Canis lupus familiaris: one gene and its partners. The protein of the gene in region 2 interacts with the protein of the main gene of each other region in a pairwise test. Links are inferred from orthologs where the notes say so. Each region holds a gene or a part of one and is shown on either strand. Other genes may lie near its edges.

Evidence for each region.
Region 1: the proteins of USP20 (region 2) and VAPB interact in binary tests that used the Homo sapiens proteins (3 or more experiments, as listed by UniProt). The two-hybrid records come from large-scale screens. The link is inferred for Canis lupus familiaris from reciprocal best matches to the Homo sapiens genes USP20 and VAPB.
Region 3: the proteins of USP20 (region 2) and TRIM23 interact in binary tests that used the Homo sapiens proteins (3 or more experiments, as listed by UniProt). The link is inferred for Canis lupus familiaris from reciprocal best matches to the Homo sapiens genes USP20 and TRIM23.
Region 4: the proteins of USP20 (region 2) and BEND7 interact in binary tests that used the Homo sapiens proteins (3 or more experiments, as listed by UniProt). The two-hybrid records come from large-scale screens. The link is inferred for Canis lupus familiaris from reciprocal best matches to the Homo sapiens genes USP20 and BEND7.

What each region holds. Positions count from the first base shown.
Region 1 is NC_049245.1:43,968,578-43,973,535, reverse strand, and holds part of VAPB (vesicle-associated membrane protein-associated protein B/C), read right to left. Parts: intron 2,909-4,958; coding exon 2,805-2,908; intron 1-2,804. UniProt on the Homo sapiens protein: Endoplasmic reticulum (ER)-anchored protein that mediates the formation of contact sites between the ER and endosomes via interaction with FFAT motif-containing proteins such as STARD3 or WDR44.
Region 2 is NC_049230.1:54,054,759-54,059,101, reverse strand, and holds the end of USP20 (ubiquitin carboxyl-terminal hydrolase 20), read left to right. Parts: intron 1-1,019; coding exon 1,020-1,091; intron 1,092-1,481; coding exon 1,482-1,642; 3' UTR 1,643-1,656; intron 1,657-2,714; exon of another isoform or gene 2,715-2,718; 3' UTR 2,719-2,921; downstream 2,922-4,343.
Region 3 is NC_049223.1:50,554,124-50,558,928, forward strand, and holds the end of TRIM23 (E3 ubiquitin-protein ligase TRIM23), read right to left. Parts: intron 3,778-4,805; coding exon 3,598-3,777; 3' UTR 1,495-3,597; downstream 1-1,494.
Region 4 is NC_049223.1:21,975,509-21,980,466, reverse strand, and holds part of BEND7 (BEN domain-containing protein 7), read right to left. Parts: intron 3,003-4,958; coding exon 2,737-3,002; intron 1-2,736.

The DNA of each region.
Region 1 (4,958 bases), on a different chromosome or scaffold from region 2:
TTTGGGCAATGGAGGGCAGGAATTCCAGGGTATGCCGAGAACTGCAGACCAGCGTAGCAGGAAGGTTAACACAGAAAAAGAGAACAAACCTTCCCACCCTCGGCCCAGGACCATGCAGGAGGCAGCTAGCGCAACACAGGTACCAAGAGCCAGAAATAGGAAACAATCTGTATGTCAAGCAATAAGGAACTGCCAAATAAACCATGGCAGGTCCATTCAGTGGAATAGCATGCCATTCACAAGTGATACTGAAGAGTATTTAATTACACAGGGAAAATTCACAGAACATTAAGTGAAGAAGCTACAAACAATATTTTAAGTCTGTTCCTCTGTATACACACAGTATACAAAAGTTCTTTTGTGTGTCAAAAGAACATCAAGCAAGGGTCAATCACTAGACACTAAACCACCAGGTGAGACTGCTGGTGAGCAGGTTATTCACGTGGTCTCCAAGCGTCCAATTACTCAAGAGTATCAAAGATCACATATTAACCACAAGGGGCAACCTTGCCTTGACACTGGAAAGTTGGCAGTCACCAAATTAACAAAGTAATCCAACTTTTAGCATCACCAGTAGAGGGACAACCCAGTACTGAATGCCTTCTGATATGATGCATATATGGTATTACTTATGGAATATTCTTGCTAAAAAACATTGAACCTGAATTTAATCATGAGGAAATAAGTGGACAACCCCAAGAACTGGCCTGGTCTCAAAAAATTCAAAGTCATGAAAAACAAAAAAGGCTGAGGGTACTGTTCTCTACTTGACTAAGAACAACCAACGGCCACTTTGGAGCAACTGGAGAACGCGGCATTGGAGTTTCTCGGTTAAATAATATGATTGGATTAATGTCAACCTTCTCAGCTGTGAGGGCAGTGCTGTGACTGTGTAAGACACTGTCCTTGTTCTGAAGCATGTAGGAGCAAGTGTCCTGAAGTCTGTGTCTTAGAGTCAAGTGGTTCGGCAAAAAAAGAAAGTTTATAAGAGAAATAAAGCAAATGTGGCAAAGTATTAAATGGTGAATCTAGATAAACGTTATAGGAGTAGTCACTGTATAATTTTTTCCACTTCTATTCTATAGATCAAAATACAAAAAAAAAAAGTTAAAAATAAAGAAATAGCACAAGGCTCTGAATAACAGTGATTAGGTCTAGTATAAATAAATAAATACAGGTCAGTTTTAGTTTTATTTGTGCTTATTTGTATATTTCCAAATTTTCCTACCATATACATTTCATATAAAAAATTTTAACTGTTATGAAAATTATCATAAAAAGGAGTGAAATTCACCCTCATTGTATATAGAGGGCCTGGCCTATAATAGTGCTCAGATACAACAGCTTTGGAGACTGTGCCAGGTGTCTGACACACACAGCACACGGAATCCCACGACCAGTGTAAACTACGTTTTTATCCCCCTTTTACAGGTAACCCAACCCTATAGAGAGTTAATGAAAACTGCCCAAGGCCACAACATTAGTAAAAGGCAGAGCTCAGCCCCACACCCAAGACACCCAAGCCCATGCTCTTGTCACTAAGCCATGCAGCAAAAGCCAAGCAGAATACATTCTTGGATATTCCAAATTTTGTATTTGCCATACATTTCCTTGCTCACACAAATTAACATGAAGTGACACATCATGTTCTGGGAATAAAAGAGAAAGTAGTAAATGCCTCAATAATCATTCTTATGAAAGGGGAAGGTAGTCTATTATCACTCATCTCTCTCAAATCTCAAGGTATCTGGCTTATCCCTCATCTCCTGCCCCAAACTTAAACATCCACAAAGATGGTCATTTGTGCTTTTCCAAGACTAACAGAAAAGGCTGAATGGGACACTGGGACACAAAGGGAAGTGGTGCATAGAAAGCCCTTTGCATAAAACTTGAAAGAGAAAAACCACGGTGCTCTGTGAGCCACCACTGCCTCCCAACTGCAGGTACTCCTCAGGTGACCAGTCTCCTAGCCTGGGGGTGGTGAGCTGGAAAGTGATGATGCAGATGTTGAGGGAACCTTGCCTTCCTCTTCCCATGTGTGAATGTGAGGACTCTCCAGTCTAGTGGGGGCTGTGTAAGGTAAGGTTTATCTGTACATTGTGATTCCTGCAGACAGCAGAATGTCCGCCGATTTCTTCAAATGTGGAAAAGTTTACTTTAAGAAGAATTTCCATTATAACCTTTTCCCAGGAAAACCAATAATATCACTTATTCATTTTATAAAAACAAAGTCATCTTATTTTTACTGAAATTAGAGAAAGGGTTAAACATGTATTTAAGCAGGAAAAAAAAAAAGAGGGAAATTAGGGAGGGGGAAAAAAATCATGCTTACCAGAACCAAGCAAGGAAAAAACCCTTTGGCACTGGAGGACATTTAAGTATTTCATTGTCTCACATCCCTCTGGGCTCTTGCAGGGTGGGGGTCAGGGTGGTGGACAGGGAGAGGTGGTAAGAGGCATTCCCTATACTAAGAAGTACCCTTTCCTATGGAGGATGTAAAGGGGGTATAAAGGGAAGAAATCCTCAAACCATTTAAAACACAATTCATCAGAACAAGGAAGTGCTGAAGCAAACTGTGATTTTAAAAGAGTCAGAAAAGAATAGTATTCTGGAAAGTTACATAAAATGTTAAAATAAAAATTTGAGGAAAAACCATAAAGGTAGTCAAAGTACAAACCTCCTTGAAAACACCATTCCCCTTTAAAAACAACTTTGACACATTTTGAAATGCATGCACCCAAAATTCTGTACCTCATCATTTTTTTTTTAATTACTAAAAAAAGTAAGAAGCATTCAGTACTTACTACTGCTTCCATATCAGAAGTGTCAGTCGGAGCAAACATAGACTGAACCATAAACTTGTGTTTACTTTTCTCATTGGGGTCATAATCGAAAGGCTGTAACATCACTGAGAAAGAAAATATTTCATTAGGAGGGTCAGAGCTTGGTTACCCGCAGCCATTTGTTATGTTAAAACTTGTACCTTGGTTATAAAGCAGTTTACCAGGATTCTCATCTGAGTCTTATAAACACCCCAGGTGAGGCCAGCAGGGCAACATGCCTAGTGTCTTCTCCACTTTTCACGTCTCAAACCTGAGATCCAGAAGTTGGGGGACTCGCCCAAATCAAAGAGCAAGTAGTGGGAGAGCTCGGACTTGGGCTTAGGATCCAGGTTTTTTGATTCCTAGCCCCTGGATCATTCACAACTGCCCACCTGACACAGAGGTCTGATATAGGCCCTACAGACGAAGTAAACTAGGTACAAATACCATATGCTTTTTTGCTCAAGACAAAACAGCAAAATGATCTTTTCAAAAAGTAAACTAGAAGAATAATCCAAGACATGTAAGTGACAGTCTCATTTTAGCTTTTCTTGGTCCCATTTCCCCTATCAAGGTATTCATGTATTGCTTCAAATACAATTTGGCCAATGCAGAGTCAGGAAATTTTCACAACCAGCACAATCACAGCACGGGAGAACATAACCAGCCTACACCCCAAAAACCTAGAGGAATCTCATATACAGGCTCCCTCCGGCAAGTCACGCCCACTGCACTAAGGAGGTGCCTCCCTGTTCCTACTGGCTTCCTTAGAACTTTCCACCCTTCTGAAATGGTGGCTGCTTTGAAATACATGATCCGCTGATCCGCTGCAAGGCTCTGGCTAAACCACACATCTGGATAAATTCCGACACACACCTTTTCACACGCAGCAAATGCCTCCTGCAGCCCTGACCATGAGAAGCCCTAATACAAACTCAGTGTCTCCCATGTGCCAGAAACCTGGCTCTGTATGTTAGGCTCTGTATGTCATTTAACTTTTAAGAGGTAGGTACTGTTGCAGAGATTATTTTAATGCCTGTTTTCAAGTGAACAAACTGGAGCACAGAAAGGTTAACTAACCTGACTGAGATCACACCATGAAGGAGGGACACTCAATGCAGGTGGCCCACCACAAAGGACTGACTCGTCCTCTACCAGGTCGAGTGCTGTCCTCCACAAGCGCCTTTCCTGCAGGGCACTCATCGGGTTCTGTGGCCTTTGAGCCCCATCTTATGGTTTCCTCTAAAGCTTACTATCCACTACCCTCTGCAGCAGATAAAGGGCACATGTCCTAAACCCTAGTTCACACTGTCATGAAGCAGCAAAACTTCAGAGCCAAGTGCAACCCAGCACCCACTCCTTCTGCCACACCAGTCACTCCAATAGAAGACAGATTCACATTCTGCGAATTCACATTCCCCTATCATATCACATAAAAAAAAGCAAATAGGGAATCAAAATGCAAATATCCCTGACATCCATCTTTGGGACACAGAGTTCCCTCTACCTTCAGGACAGAGAAAGTCTACTGAAATCCAACAACACAACAGATTTCAATGTTTCGGTACACACAGTTGCCCAGACAATTCTGCTGCCCACATCACCCATCTGACGTGCTCTGAGTTCCAGGGGACATTACTGGGAGATTTCTTCAAGATAAAAATCAATAAATGTACAAACCTTTCTTAAAGGTCACAATCTCAGGGTCATTAGATCAACCCCCCACCCCCCCGTCTAGCTCCATGCTCACAGTTGAGTCTGCTTCTCTCCCTCTGCCCATGCCCCCTCCCCCCATGTGTGCACATGTTCTTTCTCTCTCTAAAGTAAATATAAAAAGAAAAAGTTCGGGTCTTATACACACGTGACATCAAGTCTAGATACCGATACAGATATTCTGAATACCCAAAATCCAAAGTGTGACCACCAGCAGAGAGAACAAAAGGTCATTTAAAACTCAAGGCCACTCTACCTGGAATTTTACTCTTGCAAGTGCAGAGGCACAGTTCCCTCCCAAAAGAGCAGTCCTTGCTGGTGGCTTTGGGCCTGGAAGGCAACTATCTCTCCCTCTAGCACCACCAAGTTGGCAAGAGCTCTCCTGGGGACAGACTTGGGGCATCATCACACACATGGGCTTGA
Region 2 (4,343 bases):
TTCTGGCCCCAGGGCCCTGTCCACCCCCTTGCCGCCTCCCACGCCCCGGGGCCAGGTCACCCCATACCCCATGCCCCAGGGCCAGGCCTTCTTGCTGCAGTAGGATAGGAGCCGTCTTGCTCTGCCCCTTCCCTCACGTACTGTCCCTCATGGTACCAGACAGGGCTGCCTTCCACCTGCTGGGCCCTTTCCTTTGTGGGGTCTCTTGACCTAAATCAAGATTTAAGTGGACAGACGGCTTCAGACTCTTAGGAAAGCACATGGACATGGTGTCCTCTGACCTCTGGCCTTACAGAGGCGGAGGCAGCCTCCCGCAGATCCGGCAAGAAAGAACGGAGCTCAAGCTCTGGCCTGCCAGCGGCTGCCTCACCACCCCCAAGCCCCACATGCAGGGTCGGCAGGGCCAGCAGGCTCTGCAGGGGACATTTGCCCTTCAGGGCCTAAGTCCTAGCCTGGCCTCAGGGCAAGGAGAGGGGCCTCGCTGCCATCCAGCCCCATACAGGGGTGCCCGAGGGCTCCCTAGTGTATGTGGAGGCGGTCACGCCTGGCTGTGGTGTCGCAGCCTTGCCCTCGGGCCCTGGCATGGCCTCCTGCCAGCTTTTCCCTGGGCAGTCCTGTCCCCTGCCTCTGGAAACAGCTCTCGAGTCATGTGATGTCGAGGATGACATGAGGTCTGGAGAAGGGTGCTCAGCGAGTGGCCACTGCCATCAGCAGTGAGGGGTCTGAAACTAGTGCACATGTCCCAGAAATCCCCTTTGCAGGCTCCAGGGATACTCCGAGTCCCTTCTGGCTCTTCAACTTCTGTGGATGAGCCTCTGGTGCCCAAGCTCCTGTCCCTGTAAGGACGTTACACAGACCCCTTGGGCCCCGGACAGCCCCTCCAGGGTCACAGTGTAGGGGTCCCACCTTGAGGCTGTCTCTTACCTGTGGAGAGGTAGAGGGCCGTGGTGGGGGGCTGGAGTCTCTTCCTGCTGCTGCAGAGGCCCAGAGGCACTAAGCCTGAGCCACGTCTGTTCCAGAGCCCCCGGGGCCCATTGACAACAGCAGGATCGCTCAGGTCAAAGGAAGTGGCCACATCCAGCTGAAGCAGGGTGAGTCTCGCCGGCGCCAGCCCTGACCTCCCAGGCCCACCAGGCTCCCCACGGTCCTTCCAGGCCGCCAGTCACAGGCCCAGGGACCCCGCTGCTCATACCCATACCCTGTGCCGGCCTCTGCCTGTCCTTTGCGTGAACCCCACACCCCAGAAACGGCAGCAGCCAGAGATGTGCCTTCCCGGGTCCTCAGAGGATGGATGTCCCACTGGAGCATCCTGAGAGTGCTATTTAACAGCTGTGCGGGGAGGTGCAAGGTTGCCATCCCTCCCTTTTGGGGCCTGGACCTCCAGGAGCCCCCCCACTGCCAGGGACCCTGACTTCACTGAGGGGGGGCCTGCAGGTTAGCACAGGCCCAGCCTCAACCAGGTGGCCTCTTGGGCCCTGCAGGAGCCGACTACGGGCAGATTTCAGAGGAGACCTGGGTCTACCTGAACAACCTGTATGGTGGTGGCCCGGAGGTCGCCATCCGACAGAGTGTGGCCCAGCTCCAGGACCCAGAGAGCTTACACGGGGAGCAGAAAATTGAAGCCGAGACCCGGGCCGTGTGACTTGGTGCCAGTCTGTAAGTCCCTTCCCTTTGCAGAGACCCTCTCCTGCCCCTGTGCGTTGGAAGAACGCATCCCTCAACACACCTTCTGTGAGGCTGTTTGGAAAAACACTCCTGTGGGCCCCGCCGGGCTGAGTGACCCAGGTGTCCCCACAGGCCCCTGCCTCTGCCCCCATCCCTGTGGAGGGTGTATCTGTGCCTGGAAGAGAGGCAGCCGCTTTGGAAACCCAGATGTGTAAAGAGGCAGAAAAGTTGTTTGGGTTCCAGTGAATAATGTCACAACCAGGAAACATCTACTTCAGGCTCTTCACACGACCAGGGCTCCTTAACTTCCTGGGTCCTTAACTGGGGCCTTTGTGTCCACTTGTTACTGTCATCGGGGCCCAGCTTTGGTCCCTGGAGCTGCAAGTCAGGGGCTGTGGCCTAGAAATGAAAGGGCGGGAGGGGCTCCAGGAGATGCTGGGAGCTGGGGTGCTGGAGTGCTGGAGCCGACTCCTCCCCAGCCCCCGCTTCGGCCCCATCCTGGGGATCACAGGAAGGCTCCGGAACCCTGGGCTGCTCTCGGCGTTTCACCTCAGACTGACAACTCGGGGCTCATTTGTGATGGGGACCCAGGGTGAGGGCCTGGGTCTGTCGGTAGAGGTGGTTTCTGGAGGCAGCTGGTCCCGGTGTCCCCGGCTGCCCGTGCTGCCCCCACCAGGGAACCAGACAATGGGACAGAAGCATACCCCGCTTCACTGTCCTTTGCTGTGAATGCAGCTTCCAGGGTGGGGACTCCCCCTTTCTCCCCGCACTGTCCTGGGGAGCCTGGGGAGGTGCGGCTCTGCTGCAGAAGCCCACCCTGGATGCTCAGTGAGGCTGCGCTGGGGTGAGCACAGGGGGCCGGGTCTTGTCTCCGGTGGCCCCCAAGCCCCTGGACGAAGCCACTGGGGCGAGCTGCCCACCTGGTCAGGCCCAGAGTGCATGGGAGCCAGGTCCCCGCACCCCGTGGCCTTCAGGCTCTAGAAGCAGATGGGGCCGGGATCCTGGCAGCGCCCTGCAGCTTATCCGGTTCCTTCCCCGCTCCCCCCAAGGTAGCATGTGGTCCAAGAACAAGCGCCCTGGAAATCCCTTGACATTTGCTACAGTCTATTGAAAGTTCCTGCTGCAGCCGGCTGCCGGCTGCAGGTCGCCCCCCGCTGGTGACAGAGGTTCCGCGCCAGGTTGCAAACTCGCCGATGTCTGCGAGGCCTGTCCATGGTCAGACTGTCCTAATAAAGACTTGTGCGTTCCCCTCGGCCCACACTGTCGTCTGTGTGCCACGCTCGCTTTGTTATTGGAGGGAGGAGGGGGGGTCTGCATGGGGTGGGGGTGGGGGCCGCACCGGGTGACCAGCCTTCCAGACCACGGCATGCGGGCGTGGGCTCGCGGGCGTGGGCTCGGCGGGGCTTGGAAACCAGGCTGCCCCTGGATCCTGCAGGAGTGGGCGAGGAAGAGGGGCCACGAACACAGGCCTTCCTCTCCTGGAACCGGGCCCAACCCCAGAGAAGTGAGGCCAGATGTGGGGTGGGGGTAGGGCAGCACACCCCAGGGCCTATCCCCGATTGGCACCGCACCGTGCCCCGGCCACTCGGGGTATACCCTGCAAGCTGGGAGCACCCTCCCCCTGGCTGACGGCGGACATTGGTGCCTCCGATCACAGCATCGCAGTTGCCGGGGTCCTGTGCGGGGAGCTCCCTGATGTTTAATGATACTAGTGTTTTATTTTCCCTGTGGCTTTGGTTGGGTTTTCTTTACACTTCTTGGGGTTTGGTGGGGAGAGAAGAATTGGAGATTTTTATGTACTTCTGGAAACACACATATACTTGGGAAATCCCATCAGATGTGAGTGTGCAGACCCATCACCGGTCCCCACGAGCCCCCGTGGGTCCCTCCTGAGCACAGCTACCCCCTCCACCCGCAGGGTTAGCTCCTGGCCTGTCCCTCATCCCCCACTTTTCTTTATAACTTTCCCACGTCCATGTGTATCTGAATCTAAGCACTGTTTTCAACTTTGCTCACTTTTGAATGTCATATACGTGGAATTCCACGGTACAGATTTTGGGATTGGCCTTTCTTGTTTACTGTGGAAGATGGGAATGAAGAAGTTCTGTCTGGAACGTAAAGACTGCTAACTCTGGGAAACGAACTGAGGGTGGTAGAAGGGGAGGAGGGCGGGGGGTGGGAGTGAATGGGTGACAGGCACTGGGGGTTATTCTGTATGTTGGTAAATTGAACACCAATAAAAAATAAATTAAAAATAAATTCTTATCAGAGGGAAAAAAAAAAAGTTCTGTCTGGAGGATTGAGTGATTTTGGAGGTTTGGAGACACACGGTATCTGAACTATAGGAAGGTGGGGGAGACAGGGAGGTACCACTTGACCTTAAAATCCTCCTTTATATTTTCCGTTGACACACCGGGCTTTTAAGTGGTTCTGCCAAACTTTGATGCTGGATTCTGGAGACAAAGCAGGAAGCCTCAGGTGTTCACCTCACAGACCTAGTGGGGTCAGGAAACTGGGCAGCAGGGGGGCCCCCTCTGGTCTTTCTTCCACATGTACCCTCCCCCTCCCCTTAGGCTGGTCCAGCAGCATCTTTGAGAGGAGCCAGAGCCCTCACTGGGCGGGCAGGGGAGCATGAGGCCCAGCTGCTGCAGAGTGCGCAGGCCTTTCTGTCTGCCCAC
Region 3 (4,805 bases), on a different chromosome or scaffold from region 2:
TACACCTGGTGTTTAAGTATGAGAATAAAGTAGTATTTCAGTCCTTATTTTTATATACAGGTTCATTTACTATTTTCACATTATTTTCCTCATGTAGCTACATTCAAATTTTCTGTCCTCAAATAATAGTATCTTTCTTTACCTTACTAAATAGACCATTGAGAAAAAGTGTATGTTAAGTAAAACTTTTAGTAGCTAATAATGGAGTAATTAGTAGGAGTTTGAGCAATAAAATGAGTTCTAAGTCTTCTATTGATTTCATTTCTTCTTCACTTTCCCTCCTGACTTCATAACTATTAAGAACCATGGCTTCTTATTTCCATTCTTGAAGTTAAAGAAGAATAAGTAGTTAAAGGAGGAGCATGTTCAACAGACCTATTTAGGGAATTCACATTCTTATGTTTCAACCTAAACTTACACTTTTCCTTCTGTTGACAAACAGGATTACTTCCTTTATCCATTTTGTACCACAAACCTGTGAGATGGATTAATGTACCAAGTTGTACTACTTTTTTTTTTTAAGATTTTTATTTATTTATTTATTTGATAAAGGGAGAGAGTGCATGCATGACTTTGGCGGGGGGCTGGTGGGAGCAGAGGGAGAAGCAGACTCCTGGCTGAGCAGGGAGCCCCAGGACCCACCCCAGGGTCATGACCTGAGCCACTGACTGAGCCACCCCTGGCGCCCCCAAGTTATGCTACTTTAGTATTATGTCCTCCTTTTATAAAGCAGAACTTAGACATAAAATGACTTTTCACTGTGACATTTACCTTTACTTACTATTTTAGATGTCTTGACATCACCCAAGCAATTTATTCATTCCTGAAAACTTAATCCTAAATTTTTTATAATACTGCCACCAAGTGGTGGTGATGCCCCATTCTGCCAAACATAGTTATTTTGGTTGAGTGAAAAATCCTAGTTGATTAACGAATTTTTCCATTTCATGTCACAAATTCAACAGTCAGTAGACCTAAAAATATACATTGCCAGTATCTTTTTGTAAAGCATGTTTTAAATTATTATTAGCAGGATATCATCTGATACATATTCATCCTCTTCATTATTTTTTTAGGAAAAGTGTAACTGTCTTCTTCCCTATTAACCACTTTGCAAATTGAAAGGTATCTCAATGCTAAGGAAAATGTCTTTCTTTTGGCAATATTAGTTCATAAGGCTGCACCTAAGTATTCTCAGCCATTTTCTAAAACAGTTACTTAAAATTTAAAAAAACGGGTTTCACGATGTTTAATGCAAAAATTTAGTTCTGTCTAGATAATGCTCATTTAAGTGTGGCTTACTTTGCAACTACAGAATGCTTTATTTATTTCTAAATCTTTAATAAACTCAGATTTGACATGGAAGTCAATCCCTACCCCATTTTGTTTCCTTTCTCATAACCACAGCATAAATAGGACTTTAGGTGGTTACTAATTATACTAGTAGATAGATGGTACATGAAACAGAACTTATAGAATAATGATAAGACTTCCTTAAAATGATTTTAACATTTTATTGCTGTCTATATGTAATGCAAATAATGGCTTCTGGTGATAATAAAGCATTCCGATATTACAGACCAGGGCTACACACTTGTAAACCTGCTTTACATAAACCATACAATAATATTTAGCTTAATACAGAAATTCAGAGCTAGGAGGCAAATCCTAATAGACTGTATTTAAGACATCTCTCTCATTATTAAGTTTGACATTTCTCAGAGGGAACTAGCAAAATCTTAACCAATGATTAGGGAAAGAATACAACCATAAATAGTAGTAAGGGCCTGAGAAAAATATTTCTTAAAAAAAAAGAAATCACACACGAACACTGTTATGTACATTATAATCAAGTCTAAGCACAATTTTTACATTGTGTTTAGTAATATCCTAAGAATGTGAATTACAAAGTTTACCAAAATTGGTGAAATAAACTTAATAATTTACAAGGAAAACAACTTTACATTTTAGTGTTAGATTTTCTTTTTCAATTACCTAGTAGAGAAAGCAGGTCAAGGGCTCACAGGCAAATGTTAACACATTTTTTTATTTTTCACAGTTATTGTAATCAAATATTAAATAATTTAATTCATAAGTGTTACTTATATGCACAAATTACACTTGTAACAGCATGACTTTTACTTGAAAAATAAAGGATGAAATATTTACTTATTTACACACTGCCCATAACACTGATGGACTTCTTTCTAATGCTTTGTTTTCTAAAAGTTTTGTTGTTTATTTTAAACAAAAGTACATTTGAAGAGACTGAACCAAAAACAGTACCACCAAAGAGGGACCTACCTCTCCTAGCAGTTCAACTAAGACGACTTAGGACTCAACCTCATCCTAAAGGATGAAGAGCCTTTTAAAAAAATAATAAAACTGAATCTAGCTATGTTTAAATATAAATCGTACTGCTATAATGAGTATCCTTAAAAAATGAAAAACAGTAAAAAGCACAAAATTTTTAAACTTTTACAACACTGCATTAATAAAGGTGATGTAAACTTTCTGAACATTTCCTTAGACACATTCTTTCTCAACTAACTTTTCAAGGCCTTATCATGAAGAGCCTTGATAACATTTTATTGTCAAGATAAATGCACTTATTTTGGGAAAGCTATTAAAGTAACTAATTCTCCACTGCTTCTCTTAAGGTAAATGTAGTTTTCTACTTAGATCTCTATTTTTTTTTTTTATGTAAAGCCAACAACCCTGGTTCTATGTGTAACTTACTACATTTTACCCTATAATCGTTCCCACTAAGGATGCAATATTATTTTAAAAAGAAACTCTAATTTAAATGTGTTGAAAATAGAAGGACCAATTTAGAGCTGTGACCTAGGAAATAATATATCTAAGTTCAACCCGGGAAATGGGTCTTTCATAAGTGAAGATTAACTACAACATAACTGACTTGTTTTATTATTAATTATTCTTCAGTTTAATACTAATCTGACAGTCATACCTAGTTAGATAACGTCATATGACTCACTTGTGTTTTATACAAAAGGGCTTAGAGAAAGTTTTAATAAAACATTATAAAATATTAATTTTCTGCAGCTTATAGTTCTTAGCATTAAAGGTGTTCTGTTATAATAAACATAGAAGTAATCCTACTACCCAAAGATACAGTCTGGATTCTTTCATTAAATCACTGCTGCTTTGTTACTAAATACTGCCAAATCCAGTGAAAAGGTAAGATAAAAGAGAAGCTATGTTTCACTTGCTTCACACAGAGGTTCCATTAGGCACTCAGTTGGCTATTCATTTTTCTCTGAAAGAATAAATCTTCACCTTACCCCTTCCCTCACTACTTCTTTCCCAGTATATGGTTCACATATAATGTGAAAAAAATAACAAATTTATGTTTTTAAAAAATGTATATTCACTAAGTCCCTATTTAATGCAATTTTAATCTGCTCAAATATTTAAATTTTACTACAGAGTAACTTTTTAAAAAGCAATATTGTACTGAATTCCCCAAAGTCCTTTTAAGTATACATCCTAAATTAACTTTGAGTGCAGAATTTCTTATATTATGTGCAAAGTAACTCTTAACCACAAAACTTTGAAGAACTGCTGCATTTAAAATCAAGCAACATCCAATACTCCAGCAGCCACAAGATGCCTTGAGAGCCAATCTAACCCTTCATATAGTCCCATACCACTTCGAGCATCACAGCCCTGAATATACCAGCTACGGCCACAGCACAATTTATGCAGACTGAGAAGTTCAGTGATTTCTTCTACTGACAGAGCTCCAGCAACATCCTGAAAGATATATACATAACAAAATTTTTATAATCCACTCATCAAAATTATTTATATAGAATTCTGTTGGTGCCATTCTAACAAAAGCCTAAAGTTAAAACCTAAATTCACCTTTCAGTAACTATTCTGTAATTAATAGAGAGAAAAGTAGGGTTGTGATTAAGATCATTTATAATATAGTCTGTAGGAATAACATCACAGTGAAATCAATAAAGGCAATGCAGCCTGAATGAAAGATACTGCCTGAGTCATAAGGCATTGACTTAAAAAGGTTAACACATCTGTATCACAAAAATGGCTCATACATAGAATTTATAAAATGAAGTTACTAAATTCCCACTCCAAATACCCCCGAACACCCCTACTTCCTAGAAGCAACCACCAGTTATGATATTTTATATATTTGTCCAGATAATTTCCATGCACATTCATGCAAATAAACATCCTTTAGTTTTTTTAAATTTTTTACTGAACACATCTTGAAGATAATTATCTTTCCATTATCTGGACAAGTAGACTTTCAGCATTATTTTTAACATCGAATTACATTCCTGGGTGTAGGTGCTACATTACTTTTCTTAACCAGTCCTATTCTTTTTTTTTTTTTTTAATTTTATTTATTATTCCTGAGAGACACACACAGAGAGAGAGAGAGAGAGGCAGAGACACAGGCAGAGGGAGAAGCAGGCTCCATGCAGGGAGCCCGACGTGGGACTCGATCCCAGGTCTCCAGGATCACACCCTGGGCTGAAGGCAGTGCTAAACCGCTGAGCCACCCGGGCTGCCCAACCAGTCCTATTCTTAATATTTACTCTGAACTCCTATTTATGTGCTATTACAAATACATACATATACATATGTAACATTTTTACCCACGTTCATTTGCACCATTATCTGTAGGATAACTTTAGGATATTTGTAGAATACTTTCCTAGAGGTAAAATTGCAGGGTACAGGTATATGCATCTAAAATTTTGATAGGTATGGTACTGCCCAATTGCCCTCCAAGAAAATGTCTCTAATAACCA
Region 4 (4,958 bases), on a different chromosome or scaffold from region 2:
CCACAGCAATGAAAGTATAGGTTTTACATGTCTTTTTCTCATTGCTTCTAGCTCTTTCTCCTCCCCTCCAAACATCTAAGGACCATTTTGCGATACTAAATGTACTTGTGCTTCCCATCTGGACCTAAGGGCCTGCTTCTGCCCTTGTGTCCCCTACCTCAGTACTGAGGACCGAACCTGGTTTTTTAAGAGAGAAATGTGGGGGTTGCTTTCTACTGAGCCACCAAGTCCTCTGTGTGGGTACTTCCTAAATGCCTCCTTTCTCCTTCTGCAGGCTCACTGCTCAAGTAGACTGTGACGTTCTTCTTCCTGGTCTCTTTGTCTCTACTCTCTTCTCTCCAACTTTCATTATCCATAAGGCAGTTCCACTTTTAAGACATAGGTATGATTATTCCTCTATTTGAGAGTTACAATGGCTCCCTAGTGCCCACAAGATGATGGTCAAGGGCATCAGCATGGCATATTAGGGCTCTTACTACTTGGCCCCATTCTACCTTTACATCATCATCCACTACCAGAGCCAGCCAGATAGCTGTTCAGGCAGCATTGGACCACTTGCCCAACCCTGCAACTTTGGACCTGATCCTCCCAATGCTGGGTACTTCCCAGGGCCCATCTTCAAATACAGAAATACAGAATTCTCATCCATTTATATATATCCAATTATATTACATTCTCTCAGATCCATTTTAGAGAACAATTTCTACAAGATTATTATATATTTTCTGTTTTCTCCTCTGGACTTCCACCAAATTTTAAGAGGACTATGGCTAAGAAATAATAAAGAATAGAAGAGTACCTAAATTTGGATGCCTTTGAACTGCTGGTTCCATCAGGTAAGGGAGTCAATCCACACATTCTTACCCCAACCCCTGCCCTGCCAGGGACCCTGAAAGCTGGTCTCATTATTTCCAACGAACACTATCTGTGGACAAAATTGCCTCATCTAACAATGGGATTCATTGCACAGACCTCTAGGTGCAGTTGTTTCTGTTGAACAGATGAATCAAACGGCCTATCAGCTGGATAATGTAAAGATAATTATCTCCATATACTTTCTGCTTTTAGAAGCATGTTATTCCTCAAAGATAATCAGCACCTAACTGAGTTTTCATGGACAATTGTGAATGTGCTGTGTTAAATTTAACAGCTCTTGTTAGCAAAAGTAATCATGAATAAAAAGAAATTTATTTTTATTTGGTATATGAACAAAATTAAAATGGTGATATTGGTAAAGATAAGAAAAATTCTATTATTAATGTACATAAGGCCTTTATCAGATCTTCCTCAATTTATCTCTGAAGTATATTTGGAGCTTAAAAATAAAGAAAGGAGAAAGTTCAGTTATCAGCATTAGAGCGACCCATTTAGGAGATGATTTACACAATGGAAATGATTGCTCCTCATATATTAATGTCCATCAGAAATGAACTCTTAGAAAATTCAAGAAAAACATAAAAGTGTTCATGAAAACTGCTTAAGATGGAATGTACTTTGTGTTGTGGAATAATTCACCTCTGTTTCCAAATAGGTGATTGACTTGGGTTTTGAAACCAGGGCCTTAGTTCCAATAAGCATATGATATAATCAAATCAGCTGATTGGCCTGGGGTGGAACATTACATCATTAATGATTTTTTTAAAGTTAAGTTTTGAGTCTAGAAGGACTGCTTAATTTTAGCATGCGTTCAAAGATAAAAAACCAAAACAATAAAAACCTTTCATGTTGAGGGTTGGATAAAAGTTCAAATGACTTTCTAGTCTAAAAAAGTCACCTCTCTTTATTAAAGACCCAATGTGGATACAAGCTAGCAAACTGCCTTTCTGCAATCTGAAAGGAGACACTCTTTTTTTTTAAATAGCAATTATTTTTTATTTAAAGTTTAAAAGGTAGGGCCAAACTCCAATCCCATATAGGCCCGTGGGTGTTCTCAGCAGGATTCTCATCCTATGCAAACTGATAATAATAGATCACTCACTCTTGTTTATTTTAAGAACTCTCCCAACCAGACGGGGTTCACATTAATGTACTTAGATAAAGATATTGTAAACAGAGTATGCAGTTGCAAAAATAGCACATTCTTAAGGACTTCAGTTTATGGTCATACAGCTATAAGATGGCAAGTCGGATGGATCTCTTAGATGTCATCCAACATCCAGGACTGCAACAACTTTCTAGCTATGATATTGAAATAGAAAAACCTTTGCAGAGCATTAACCAACCTATCATTATAAAGAGTAAATGGCATGCACTGCAACCTAATTAGCAGTGTGGCTTGCATCTATAAAATAGAATTAGCACTACTGCTCTTTTTTTATTATTAGTTTGTGTTTCTAGAAAGGTGTGACCTTATCTGTAAGGTTCTGTTCATTTATGCCCATTTACAAAGGATTTAATTATGTTCTTTTAGCTCTCTACGCTGAGGAAATTGAAAACGGCCACTTCAGAATTAAAACTGTTAAAGAAATTAGTGAGCAGATTATTTACTCCATCACCCTTCTTCGTGCAGGGATAAAGAATGGAAACACGTTCAAATAAATGAGGTTGAAGATTTTTGGAAGAGAACATTCTAGGTAAGGAAATTATTAATAGTCTTCCTTTCCTCTTTCCCATGGGTCTTTTGCAGTTTCTCTAGTTTTCTTGGGCAGAACCAGTTAAGGGGAATGTGTATTAATACTATAAGATTCCTGAAAATTCCATCACCTTAGTGTGAGCAGCCAGAGAACATGGACTTACATCTGAGGCAGGCGACTCTAGGACGATGCCGAATCCCAGCACACGGCTCTCCCCAGAAGAGGGGTGCTCGGCCGTTGGGGGGCCAGGCTGCTCGGAGGCCCCTGCTGTCTTCTTCTCAGTTTCAAATGCGCCAGACTTTTGCTTCACAGTTAGAGGTTCAATGGTCTTTGGGGGCACTTTTTTCTTTTTATTTCTCTTGCGTGAGACAGCAGTTCGCTGGGAGCATATAAGGGAAATCGGGGGTTGTTGTCTGTTTTGGGTTCCAACTGTGAAGAGTGAACAAAAATAGGGTACAGGCACCTGAGTCTAACTTAGGAGAAACCATCGTCCATCTATCTACGTGTTCTACTAACTGAGACCGAAGCACGGTTCAGTCAAAGAAGCAGACCAGAGTCAATCTCTTGTGGGACCTGCAGATCATCAAATGACGTCTTTGAAGCACTTTAGAGTTCTACACACAAGAAAAGCACTGTCCTCGATGCTGCTAAATAATTACACTCACTGCTGCTGCTGGGTTCCGTGGAAGGCATTCTGAGCTGTAGGAAAACATCTGAGTGTGATTTTATAAGTCGCAGGACATTTTTATATAAATGGGAACTCAGAATTTAAGTTCAGGTGTAGATGTCCAAGCTTTCTGGTAAGCCAAACTTAGGAATATCCTTGTTTGGATATTCCAAACATGGAATATCCATGATGATGGATGATGATCCATGATTCTAATCATCCTTGGAGGGTAAGTTGATCAGCTGCTAGCAATCTACAGGCACTAATATTGACTAAGAGTGAGCAATGATGATCATTTATTAAAGAATGAGTCTGGCATGACTCGTACGTTATGTAGGCAAAGCCGGCTAGTCCTTTATCAGGGCCAGTTCCTCCTTCCTTACAAACCACGTTATCCACACACAACCATCTCCACAGAACTACACTACTGGGTTCTGACCAGGCTGCCCTCCATACCTTGGTTTTAGGTAGTGGAAAAATAGGAATGATATAGTTCTTCGCAAGTCAGGAAGACCCGTAAAATCCAGAAACAGGTGGAATTCCAAAGATGAAAAGCACTGAACAAACACCAAGTACTAGTATTAAATATATACTTAAGGAAGCCAAAGATGGTAAGTATAGTTTTCACAGATGTACTCTGGCAAGTCATGTTTGTTAACCATTTAGAAATATTCTGATGGAAAGTGTAATAGAAAAACACGGCATCATTATTTAAATCTTCATGTAGCAATATGGCTTACTAAAAATGATCATGGGATATGCCTGCTTTTTTACAGAAATAAGCCAAATGAAAACTAAAGATCTTTAAATGCACATAAATATGGATCATTTCCCATCAGTTTGCAAATAAAGGATATTTATACTTTGAGCTTGGTATTTGCATCTTTAGACTGGCGAGAAATTTACAAGTAAGTATTAGAAACCCAACTACTTGGGGTGCCTGGCTGGCTATGTTGGAGGAGGAGCATGCAACTTTTGATCTTGGCATTGCACCCATGTTGGGTGCAGAGATTACTTAAAAAAATAAAAAAGGAAACAAACCACTTGTACTGCATAGGAGCACTGAAAAGGTTTTTAACCACTTGTGTAGTTATTAGTTGAGTTCACTGGTGCTTGACCTTGGCTGCATGTTAGAATCACCCGGGAGCTTAAAAAAAAAAAAAAAAAAAAAGGTCCATGCCTCAGCCTTACCCCAGACTAACTGAATTGGAATTTGCAGGGGTGGCGTCCGGGGAACTGAGACTTTTTTTTTCTTTTTAAAGCTCAAGTGATTCCAGTGTGCAAGCTCAAGTGGAGAACTTTCCTCTGTTCTCTGGATTTTTACCCTAGGTTAGGTCTCCATGCCCAAAGTCAAATAGACAAGGAAAGCAATTATCAATGGTCTAGGACTCATGCCTCTCCAAGCCTTGCTATTCTAAATTAAAGGGAGAATGCATTTGGTTTAAAGAACACAGGCACTTTCAGAGTTTTTCTCCTGAGTTTGCAAGTCTAGACACAGCCATAGTCTCTGGCACCCAGATCTTATCGCTTCATTGTATTCCTTGTCTTCTCCCTAAGTAGAGGCGAAACTTTCTAAATATAAATCTACAGGTGTTATAGACAATAAGCCTTAAGTAAATCTACCCACACAATACAGATTCTTAAGTTTAAGGAAATTAAAGAAGAGTAATTTCTTCAGTTTATCCTTTCTGCTATCCTACCAGCTCTGGAATCATTTA